Linked DNA regions of Arabidopsis thaliana. The protein of the gene in region 1 interacts with the protein of each later gene in a pairwise test. Each region holds a gene or a part of one and is shown on either strand. Other genes may lie near its edges.

The links. The genes of interacting proteins can lie anywhere in the genome.
Region 2: the proteins of ZFP8 (region 1) and CUC2 interact in a two-hybrid assay, tested with the Arabidopsis thaliana proteins (one large-scale study listed by BioGRID).

The regions. Positions count from the first base shown.
Region 1 is NC_003071.7:17,505,130-17,509,517, reverse strand, and holds ZFP8 (zinc finger protein 8), read right to left. Parts: upstream 2,176-4,388; 5' UTR 1,963-2,175; coding exon 1,189-1,962; 3' UTR 902-1,188; downstream 1-901. UniProt on the Arabidopsis thaliana protein: Probable transcription factor required for the initiation of inflorescence trichomes in response to gibberellin and cytokinin. Is not involved in the regulation of trichome branching. Is functionally equivalent to GIS2.
Region 2 is NC_003076.8:21,900,996-21,905,953, forward strand, and holds CUC2 (NAC (No Apical Meristem) domain transcriptional regulator superfamily protein), read right to left. Parts: upstream 2,860-4,958; 5' UTR 2,801-2,859; coding exon 2,611-2,800; intron 2,531-2,610; coding exon 2,247-2,530; intron 1,625-2,246; coding exon 971-1,624; 3' UTR 709-970; downstream 1-708.

The DNA of each region.
Region 1 (4,388 bases):
GTAGTATATTTGTAGTGTGAGGCAATGCCACATATATATGTGATTGAAGTCTTGCCAAAACTGGAAAAGTCAAGCATTTGAATATCTTGGTCTATGCCGAAAGTCGTAGCTATATAAATATGGTTGTCTTTAATGTTTGGTTAGTGTTAAGACATTGAAGGTCATATGTTAGGTACGAGGATTGATATCATTGCTTCTTCTGAGATATACGATTGTGATTCTTGTAGGCCTTGGGGCATATGGACTTCATTCAAAGTCTGTTCACTGGAGGCAATAAGAAGAAACATGGTCATGTGCCGTGGCTTGTAACCAGTATTTTTATTTTCTTATTATATTTTGAGCATTGTGGTATATGGGGAGAGAGAGAGAGAGATGAACAAGGAAATATGGTAGACAGCTTGTAGTTGATGATTCTCTTTGAACTGCCCAAAAAAAGGTTAGAAAAGAAACTAAAGAAGAAAGCTTTTGAGGAAAGGCTTTAGCTTTAGGTTCTGTGTGTTGAGAAAGATGTGAAAGCTCTATCTTTGGCTAACTCTACACTTGTAATCATGGACCACTTTCACTTCTCAACTCTCTCTCTCTCTCTCCCCTTTTGTCTTGTCCATTGTCTTCAGTGATCCCCACAGTCACCGAATCATCATCAACATCTGCATTTACCCATCCTTCGTTGCCTCTTGATTCGGTAAAAGACCGTTTTAATTAGACAGAGACCCTAAGCATTTTGTATCTAAAGAGTCTTCTGGGGTTTTTAATGGTTAAGACTTTAAATATCTCGACTGCAACAACAGAGAGAAAGTACGTGTGACTTCCATGGCCCTTAAATTAATGTTCCTCTTTCTCTGAAAGTTATAGAGAGTCTTGAAGGAAGCCATAACAGAACTCACAAATGAACAGATGAAATCAAACAAAAAAAACGATAATTATATCATTCACATTCACACACACGTGAGAGGAAATTAAACGGATGAACGAATTTTACTAATTAACCAAAATATTATTCCCTTTATTAATATAAACTCAGAATGTGAAAACCTCAAAAAGGTTCAAGATGATCTACACACCAAACCGGTTCTCGTTTTCTTTTTCTTTTTTTCAGTCTCCAACACTCTCAAAAGAATTGGCTTCACCGATCAGCGAGTCTCATATATCACAGCAATGATGGATGATAAAAAAATAAAATAAAAGAAGTCAGAGATGAAGATCGAGACTCACATGATCTTGCACATTGGGTTTCATCAATCTGTACGGCCAGTTATTAGGCTCCTTATTAGTCTCTTGCTCATGCGACCTAAACGCTGAAGCTGGTGAAGATGAGTAAACGCCTTGAATAGTATTTGTTGACGTGGAAGGCGGTACACGCCACAAACCTAAAGGACTTCCGTTGATTGTCGGTGGGTTAGAAGAAGGAGGAGCAAGAGTATTCCTTGAGTAGTACGACGGCGTTTGATGTCCCCCTCCGCCGTAGTATGATCTAGCTTCCGTCGTCCAAGACGGATAGTGACGGTGGTGGTGGTTGTTGAGGAAGCCGTAGATGTGGTGAGGGTCATGAGGCTGATGATGATGAAGGTATGATGTCATGGAACCGCGTTTGGCGTGTTGACGTTCACGTTTGTGAGCGTTTTGATGTCCACCTAGGGCTTGAGAAGTTGGGAAGTTTCTGAAGCAGTAGTGACACTCGAATCTCCTGTTGTTGTTGTTATCTTTGTCTTTGTCCTTATCTTTTTCTTTGTCTTTGTCCTTGATATTCTCAGAGCTCTCATCGTTCTTGGTAGTGGTTTGATGATCAGAAGGTTCTGCGGATAAGTTGTCGGAGTTATCACCGACGAGCTCTTGGCCGAAGAGACGAATAATGGCGGCTTTTTCTTTGGGAGGAGTACGGCGGATGAAAGGAAGCTGAGAGAAGGATTCAACGTTGACGTTCATGAAATCGTGAGTTTCTCTTCGTCCGTTGGTTTCGTCCATGGAAGAGAGAGATCAGGGAGAGTGAGTTTGAGAAGAATGAGGTTGACTGTTTCAGAGACAGAAAGACAAGAGATGAGGTTTTGCATTAATTTAAAGAGAGGTTCCCAAATTCTTTTTAAGGTAAATACATAATTGCTATTTAACCCCTGCAGCATGGCCGCGTGCGTGATTTTACGTTTATCCACCTATATATATATAGCTAAAGAATGATCCACATTTCACTTGTACATATTTTTCAAAATAAATAAATCTACTTCTTCATTAGTTTTTTTATGATCTCAATTTTTTCATTAGTATATTAGATTTTTCCTTTTGAAAATCAAACCTCATAGAATTTTAAAATTGACTCCATGGTGCATGTTTATATTTTATTTTTTTCGTTAGTTCATGTTTATATAAACCTGCAATTATGGTTGGAAAAAAAAAAAAACTAATTAGCGTATGGAAGCATAGGAGACGTAAATATGGGGTATATATGGAAGCATAGTACTATACTATATGATTACAGATTTATCTTGTGTTTAAATTGTAGCTTACTATGAATCTATACCGTGTGTCGCGGTAGGTAAAAATAGCCGGATAAAATCAATCAATATATAGGGAGACCTCTAATCTACATTCACTTCCCCTACGCAATATATCTCTCATTAGACATACATATACAAATATCCATCTCATCAAAAACAAACCCATCAATCCTCCTTTTTCAAAGTTATCTCCTTTTTAGTTAGTTGTTTCTTAAAGTGATTCCTGCAAATGTTGAAACTAAGACAAAAAGCTTACCAAATTGGTCGTAAGCAGATGAAATGGGGTCACAGTGAGTAATGAGATGAACTAAAAACAGTGAGAGTTTGTAGGTAAGAGATCATTAGCAAGGTGAAGTTAGGTGTGTACTCTTTAACATCACGGACCTATTTGGTTATTATGTCTACGTATAAGTACATGGATTTTACTACTAATAGAGAGAGAGAGAAATAGAAAGACCTAATTAAAGAGACTTCTTCTCTCTCAAGGACCATACTTTTAGTCTCTTGGATGTTTTGTCTCTTTGATGCAAAGATAATCTTACAGAGAGAGAGAGGTGGTCCATGTTCATGATCATTAATGATGCTCATAATCGACTAGTTGACATGTCATCACCAGATAGTTAACCAATTTAAAAGATTGAACCTTAATCGATGAGATCACATCATCTTATCAATATGTATGTAATCTGTTAATACTTATCAACTCGGATCGATCATATACACGTCTTCTTCAAATGAACTATATATATATATGTATTCTCTTTTTGTTCGTCTACACTAAATTTTTTGATATTTTGTAAGAATAATTAAATTTTAAATCCCATTAATTTTGATTATATATATTCCCTGATTATGTCACACAAATAATGTATATGTTGCTAATGTCAAGCTGGAATAAGGACTATAAAACTCATTAATCCATAAATTAATCTGACCTTTTTCATTTCTTTGACGACTCCCAAATTCCCAATTAAGTATGACGTTCAGTTAGTTGTTTTGAGCGGTAAAAATTTTCTCCTGTACAATGGTTGGAATCAAATTACTAAACAGTCTAAACTAATCCTACGAAAACTAAGATCTTGTAAACTAATGCTGATTGCTTACTATACACAGTATTCAAAGTTTTCATTTAGTACGTATCGAATCATCTCTTATCGTTCTATATACTCCAATATGGATCATCCATTTGTGGATAGATAAACTATTCCTTTTTTTTTGGTCAACAGATAAACTATTCTCTTATAAAAGTATTGTTATTTATAATTTTTAAATTAAATTATGTAAGCAAAACAATTTCTTTTTTTCTCCAAATTTTTTTCAGACGGATTCCCTTTAAAATCCAACTGTTGTAAGTGACTTCCTCACATATAGTATGAATTTACCGATTCACATAACATGTGTGAGGTATATATGAGTAATCAAAAGCTTATTGTAAGAAAGGGAAGTAAATTCAACTATGGTAATAATGTCCATACGAATGCTGGTCCCAAAGTACATTAATTTACATACATAATTTTGCAGATTTTGGACTTCACATGACGAGTCCACGTCTCTTTTATTTTTCCACAAACAATAAACTCTGTTTAAACCTACACATGCGATTTAACATTTAAACTCATCAGAGAGCCTTGGCATGCAAATATGAAAGTTTTAACTGTTATTAAAATTATATAGTTAATGAGAATGTTTTTTTGTATTCCTCTAATATTTTAGAAAAATATTTAAGGGAAATTGATGAGAATGCTTAATATCGGACTTTCTACAACCAAATTTTGTCAAATCTCTTAGATCATACTACGTAGTCTTTTTAGGTTATATATCAGAACTTTTTTGATTAAAAAGACGAAATCTATATAAAATCTCGGACTCTGATTTTTTTTTGTCTAAAGCTAAGTCCTA
Region 2 (4,958 bases), on another chromosome or scaffold:
AGAAATGTGAAAGCCATCCTTCTGAAAGTGAGGTGGACTGTTGTACAAGATCTGAATTTGGGAGTGGTCCGTTCGTCAGCATGCGCATCATATTCATCATCCCCGTTTCAAAATCCTTAATTTCAAAACTACTTCTTTTCTTTGGTGGGTTTACAATGCATTAAGTTAATCAAAATTAGTATGTAAATTATTTTCAGTAACTACCATGTACATGCATGTTATCTTAATCAATTAAGCCAAACGCAAATTGTTGTGTTTAGTCTCATATGTGTACGATTGTAGCAAGAAGATACACCTAACTGAAAATGGTGTTCATAGACTGATTAATCCACTGAATTATGAGTACTTACTTTAAAAGCATGAAACTTTCTTGAAATATTTTGGCAGTTACACATGTCAACCTTAATTAGCTAGAATTAATAAACAAAAACTACATGCATGTTTTACATTTGAGCATCTTCAATTGATGAAGAAATTAAATAATTAGCCATGTTATGTAATTACGGAAATCATCTAACCGAAGATTCGGAACGGTTGAATTCCGGAAACATATATATAACCGCCATATCAAATTGTATTAACAAGAAGAAAACTAAGGTATCTAGAAGCGACCGAAGAAATTCATTTTGTCGGTAATATACTGTATGATTGTATTGATAACCAAGGACACATGTCAAATATCATGAGAAATATAAAACATGAAAAAGCCATGAAATTAACATAATGTCAAACATTACAAAAACGAGCATAGCTTATACATATGCACGTTCATAGTCTAGAAAACATTTTCCTTGCATATTACCTCCTAATTAACACAACCGGATAAACTTAAAACTAGAGAATTAAGCGGAACATCAAGCTAAGTGCAATATTAAGCTCCTCGGTACACACATTTCATAATACCATAATCATCCTAGAAATACATAAATAAAACCCTAACGGGAACAATTATAAGTCACCTCTTTTGTGATCAGTAGTTCCAAATACAGTCAAGTCCAGCATGAAGCACACCGACCTTTGACTCATTCTCTTCGGCAGTCGCCGGTAGCCAGTAATTCATCCCGGAGACGCCTCCGCCGCCTTGGAAAGAAGGCAGATTAACGGCGGAGGTCATAGTCGATGCAGAAGACGATCCAAAGTAAGGAAATTGATTGAAGTTTTCTTGGAACGATCTGAAGTTAGATTGAGTCGAGACGTTTCTAGAAACGAAACGAGGAAAAGGGTCAAAGTCAAACCCTAGCGGCGGTGGAAGACGGCTGAATGAGTTAACGTCTAAGCCCAAGGCCGTAGTAGTAGTAGGGACAGTGGAGAAACAGGACACGTGCTCGGTTATTGCGCTGGCTGTGACGGTTGTGTTGGTGCTACGGCTGTCGTAGGAGCAACTGCTGTCGGTGTAGCCGAGGGTAGTGGTCGGATCCAGGAGAGGTGGGAGTGAGACGGAGGAAGGAGAGCTTGGTTGTTCTTGATAGTTTCTTGAGATTGTTGAGGGTACTTTCGTCTTTTTAGATGGACCAGTACCGCTGCTTACGCTCACAGTTGCTCCTCCTCCTCCTCCTCCTTCGGAGACGGCTCCGGTGCTAGCTAAAGTGGTTTTCTGGAAAACCCTAGAGATCACCCATTCATCCTGAAGGAATAAATTAGAGTTTTGAAAAGTCAAATATTTTATATAATATATGTTTGATGAGAAAGTCAATGTTAGATCTTGGAAATAAAAGAGAGTGAAGATTAAGAAAAACCATAGAGTAAAAGCGTGCACAGAGGGAATGTACATTGGACACTACAAGTCTACAATGGATATGGAACACTAATTAAGTAAAATTAATTTAATTAAATTTCTTTTTAATATATCTAGGTCAGAAAAAAATCCTGAAGATTTGCATTGGTTCTGGTTTTTTGCATTAAGCTTTCCAAAAGTAGGATGTATTAATATTTTATTTTATCAGAGCTATTGAATGTTTTCTTACTTTAGGAAAACACCATTATGATTGAAATCCCAATACATAAAAACAGCAGATCTTTTCTATTTCATGTTCCATAATGCTCTCAGATAACCACAGTAAAGAACCATGCCTTTTCAGCCATCAAAATTAAATGCAATAAAGCAAAAGAGAAAAAAATCAACGTCACCGACTATGTCACACTCTCGAATTTTTTTTCCAAATAATAGATTGTAAATTTATTAATCAAAGAAAATTAAGGCTTTACTTTATCAACAAAATAACTAATGAAAGGTTAAATCGAAGTACCTTGGAGCTTCTTGAGATGAAATGGTAAGAGAATTTGCCTTCAAGACGATATTCATGCATAACCCAATTACTCTTCTCTCCTTTCGGAGCTCTTCCTTTGTAAAAGACAAGAGTCTTCTTCATCCCAACAAGTGCACAAGTCTTTGAACTAAAGATCTCTCTGTCTTTTCCGGTAGCTTTCCAGTAACCAGCCTCAGTTGCTCTGTTAGTTCTCAGTCCCGTCGGATACTTCCGGTCACGGAGGCTAAAGAAGTACCATTCTTTCTCTCCCATCTTAGCTCTCCCTAAGTAACATTGAGAGTAAAGATTTCAGAAACCTTAATTACAAAAGAACTACAAGTAAGTTAGTTTTGTATTTTCTTACCGGGAAGTTGCCAAGGCTCACACTTGTTGAGATCAACTTCTGCGATGGCACGGCTTGAGAAGCAACCGTCGAGGACTTTGCGGAGAAGGTAATGAGTGATGAGCTCTTCGTCCGTGGGATGAAACCTGAAACCCGGTGGAAGATATTGGCTGTCTCCGCCATGGTCGTAGTGGTAATACGGAATGTCCATTAAGAAGAAAGATCTAAAGCTTTTGTTTGAGAGAGAAAAAACCCTAAGGAGACTCAAATGTTTTGAAGAAGAAGATAAATAGGTTAATATAATGGATGGTTCTTGAGTAAGGGGCGTGGTAATAATGTGGATGGATATTATTTTTTGGTTTTATTAGTTTATTTTTTTTATACATTGGGATTTGGTAAATCTAAAACGGCGAAATAGAGGGAAGCTTTTTTTTTGGGGTAGTGAAAGTAAAATAATTATTAAAAGATTAAAAACCAGAAAGTCGTAGAGAAGATAATTATAAATTTAGTAATAATAAAAAGACAGGTACGTCTACTCTTTCATAGGAATCTGTGGTTTTCTCTGCCTTGTCTTGTAGTAAAGAGAGCAAAGCCAAAGCAGATTATTACATCACATTTTTGAGTTTATCGATATATTTTTTACATAACTCGAGATTGTTTTAAAATTACAAAATTAAAATTAATCATGAAGTGTCCGTATTTCTTTGAATTAAATTATTAAAGAAACGAGGAATGGGCTCTTGTTTCTATCTGAGTATGCGTGCGTGCATGAGAAAAAGTGCAGTGGTATTCTCTGTCAGTGATGAAAATAAAAGAGAGGATTCAGATTGTATCTTTTTTTTTATCTACGAACTTGAAATTTCTTTTTATTATTGTGTTTGGAAATTGGGATACATAATAATTTATTATACGTACAATGACTAATCGAAACAATAGTAGTATAGTGAGGGATACATTATTAGACATATACACTAGTTATTTGGAAAGTGAAGAGTTTCAATTTTTATTTTTAATAGAAAAATGGATATTATATCGATAAGGCTGTTTCAAATCTTGGAGTGTCAGCACAGTACATGATTAATTTATCAAAAACTTTGACAGAGACTTCGTTACTACACGCCACCACCTTCTACACCTTTCACCTCTCTTTTTTTTTTCCTTGATTTTCTTTTCGTTTTTGTTTCATCTTTTCCATTTTCCAATTTTTTACTCCTGTGATGGATTTTTAGTTACTTTTCATTGCTTCATATTCATTTGTAAGACTCAGCAAAAGAAAATTAAATTTCATTATTTTCAAGCAACGAGATTTATGATGTAAGATTGAAAAATAATTTAATCAAGAAGTTACAGGTTGCAAATCAGAGAAGATATTTATGCTGCCTGGTTTTGTAGTTTTCTTAATTACTATCTCAAGTCTGTTTTTTCTCCTTTTTTATATAAATTAATTATGGCTCATCAAATAACTAATTATCAATTATGTTGATTGTTACAGGTCCACCAAAATGACATGACTAAACGTAAATTTCACAATTGTTAATTTATTTCTGTTACTTCCAATATTTTGATTATTATCTCATACAAATTATTTATTTTAGTGGAACTTCAATTTTAGCCCTATTTGACATGACTTGTTTTTTAAAATTTCCCACCCAAAAATGTACTAAAGAATAAACTAAAGAATAAAAGACACACCCAAAAATGTAAAGACCTTAAGATCAAACTAAAAAGATAGTGAGTTGATCAATTTCTACTAATAAATTAACTACAGACTTATTGACTATTTTAACCGTATGAAAAAATTGTATAAACTTAAATCAAAATAACTCTCCCCTTCGAGTATTCATATCTACGGACTTATCATGTGTGTAACTATTAGTTAAAAAAAAGAAGATGTTATAAAGTATGCAAAGTAATAATTATACATTAAAAATCATTATCAGAGACATGCTAAGACTATTACACCTGCTACTACTGTTTAATAGTAGTATTTATTACTATCTAGAAATTGTAGGTCTATCTATACGTCTTTTTAGACATATCTGCATATGACAGTAACTAAATCTAATTAATAAGATCCTTTCCTGTCTTAATTACAGATAGTTGAAGTAAAAGATTATCACCAAGCTATGAACCGAAGCAATAACATTATATAATTGTAATTACTTGAATTTATGAAGTTTTGAATACATTCTAGTGTGCCAAAGTGTTAATTGTCTTAAACTGAAAACAATGGCCAAACAGATTACAATGTTGATATTGACCTTGCCAAATTTTAGAAATTTGCTTTACTTTATCTTAATTTAAACATATATTTTTCACGGTTAATTTGTTTGTTTGCTTAGCATTTTTTTCATAACGAGAAAAATATT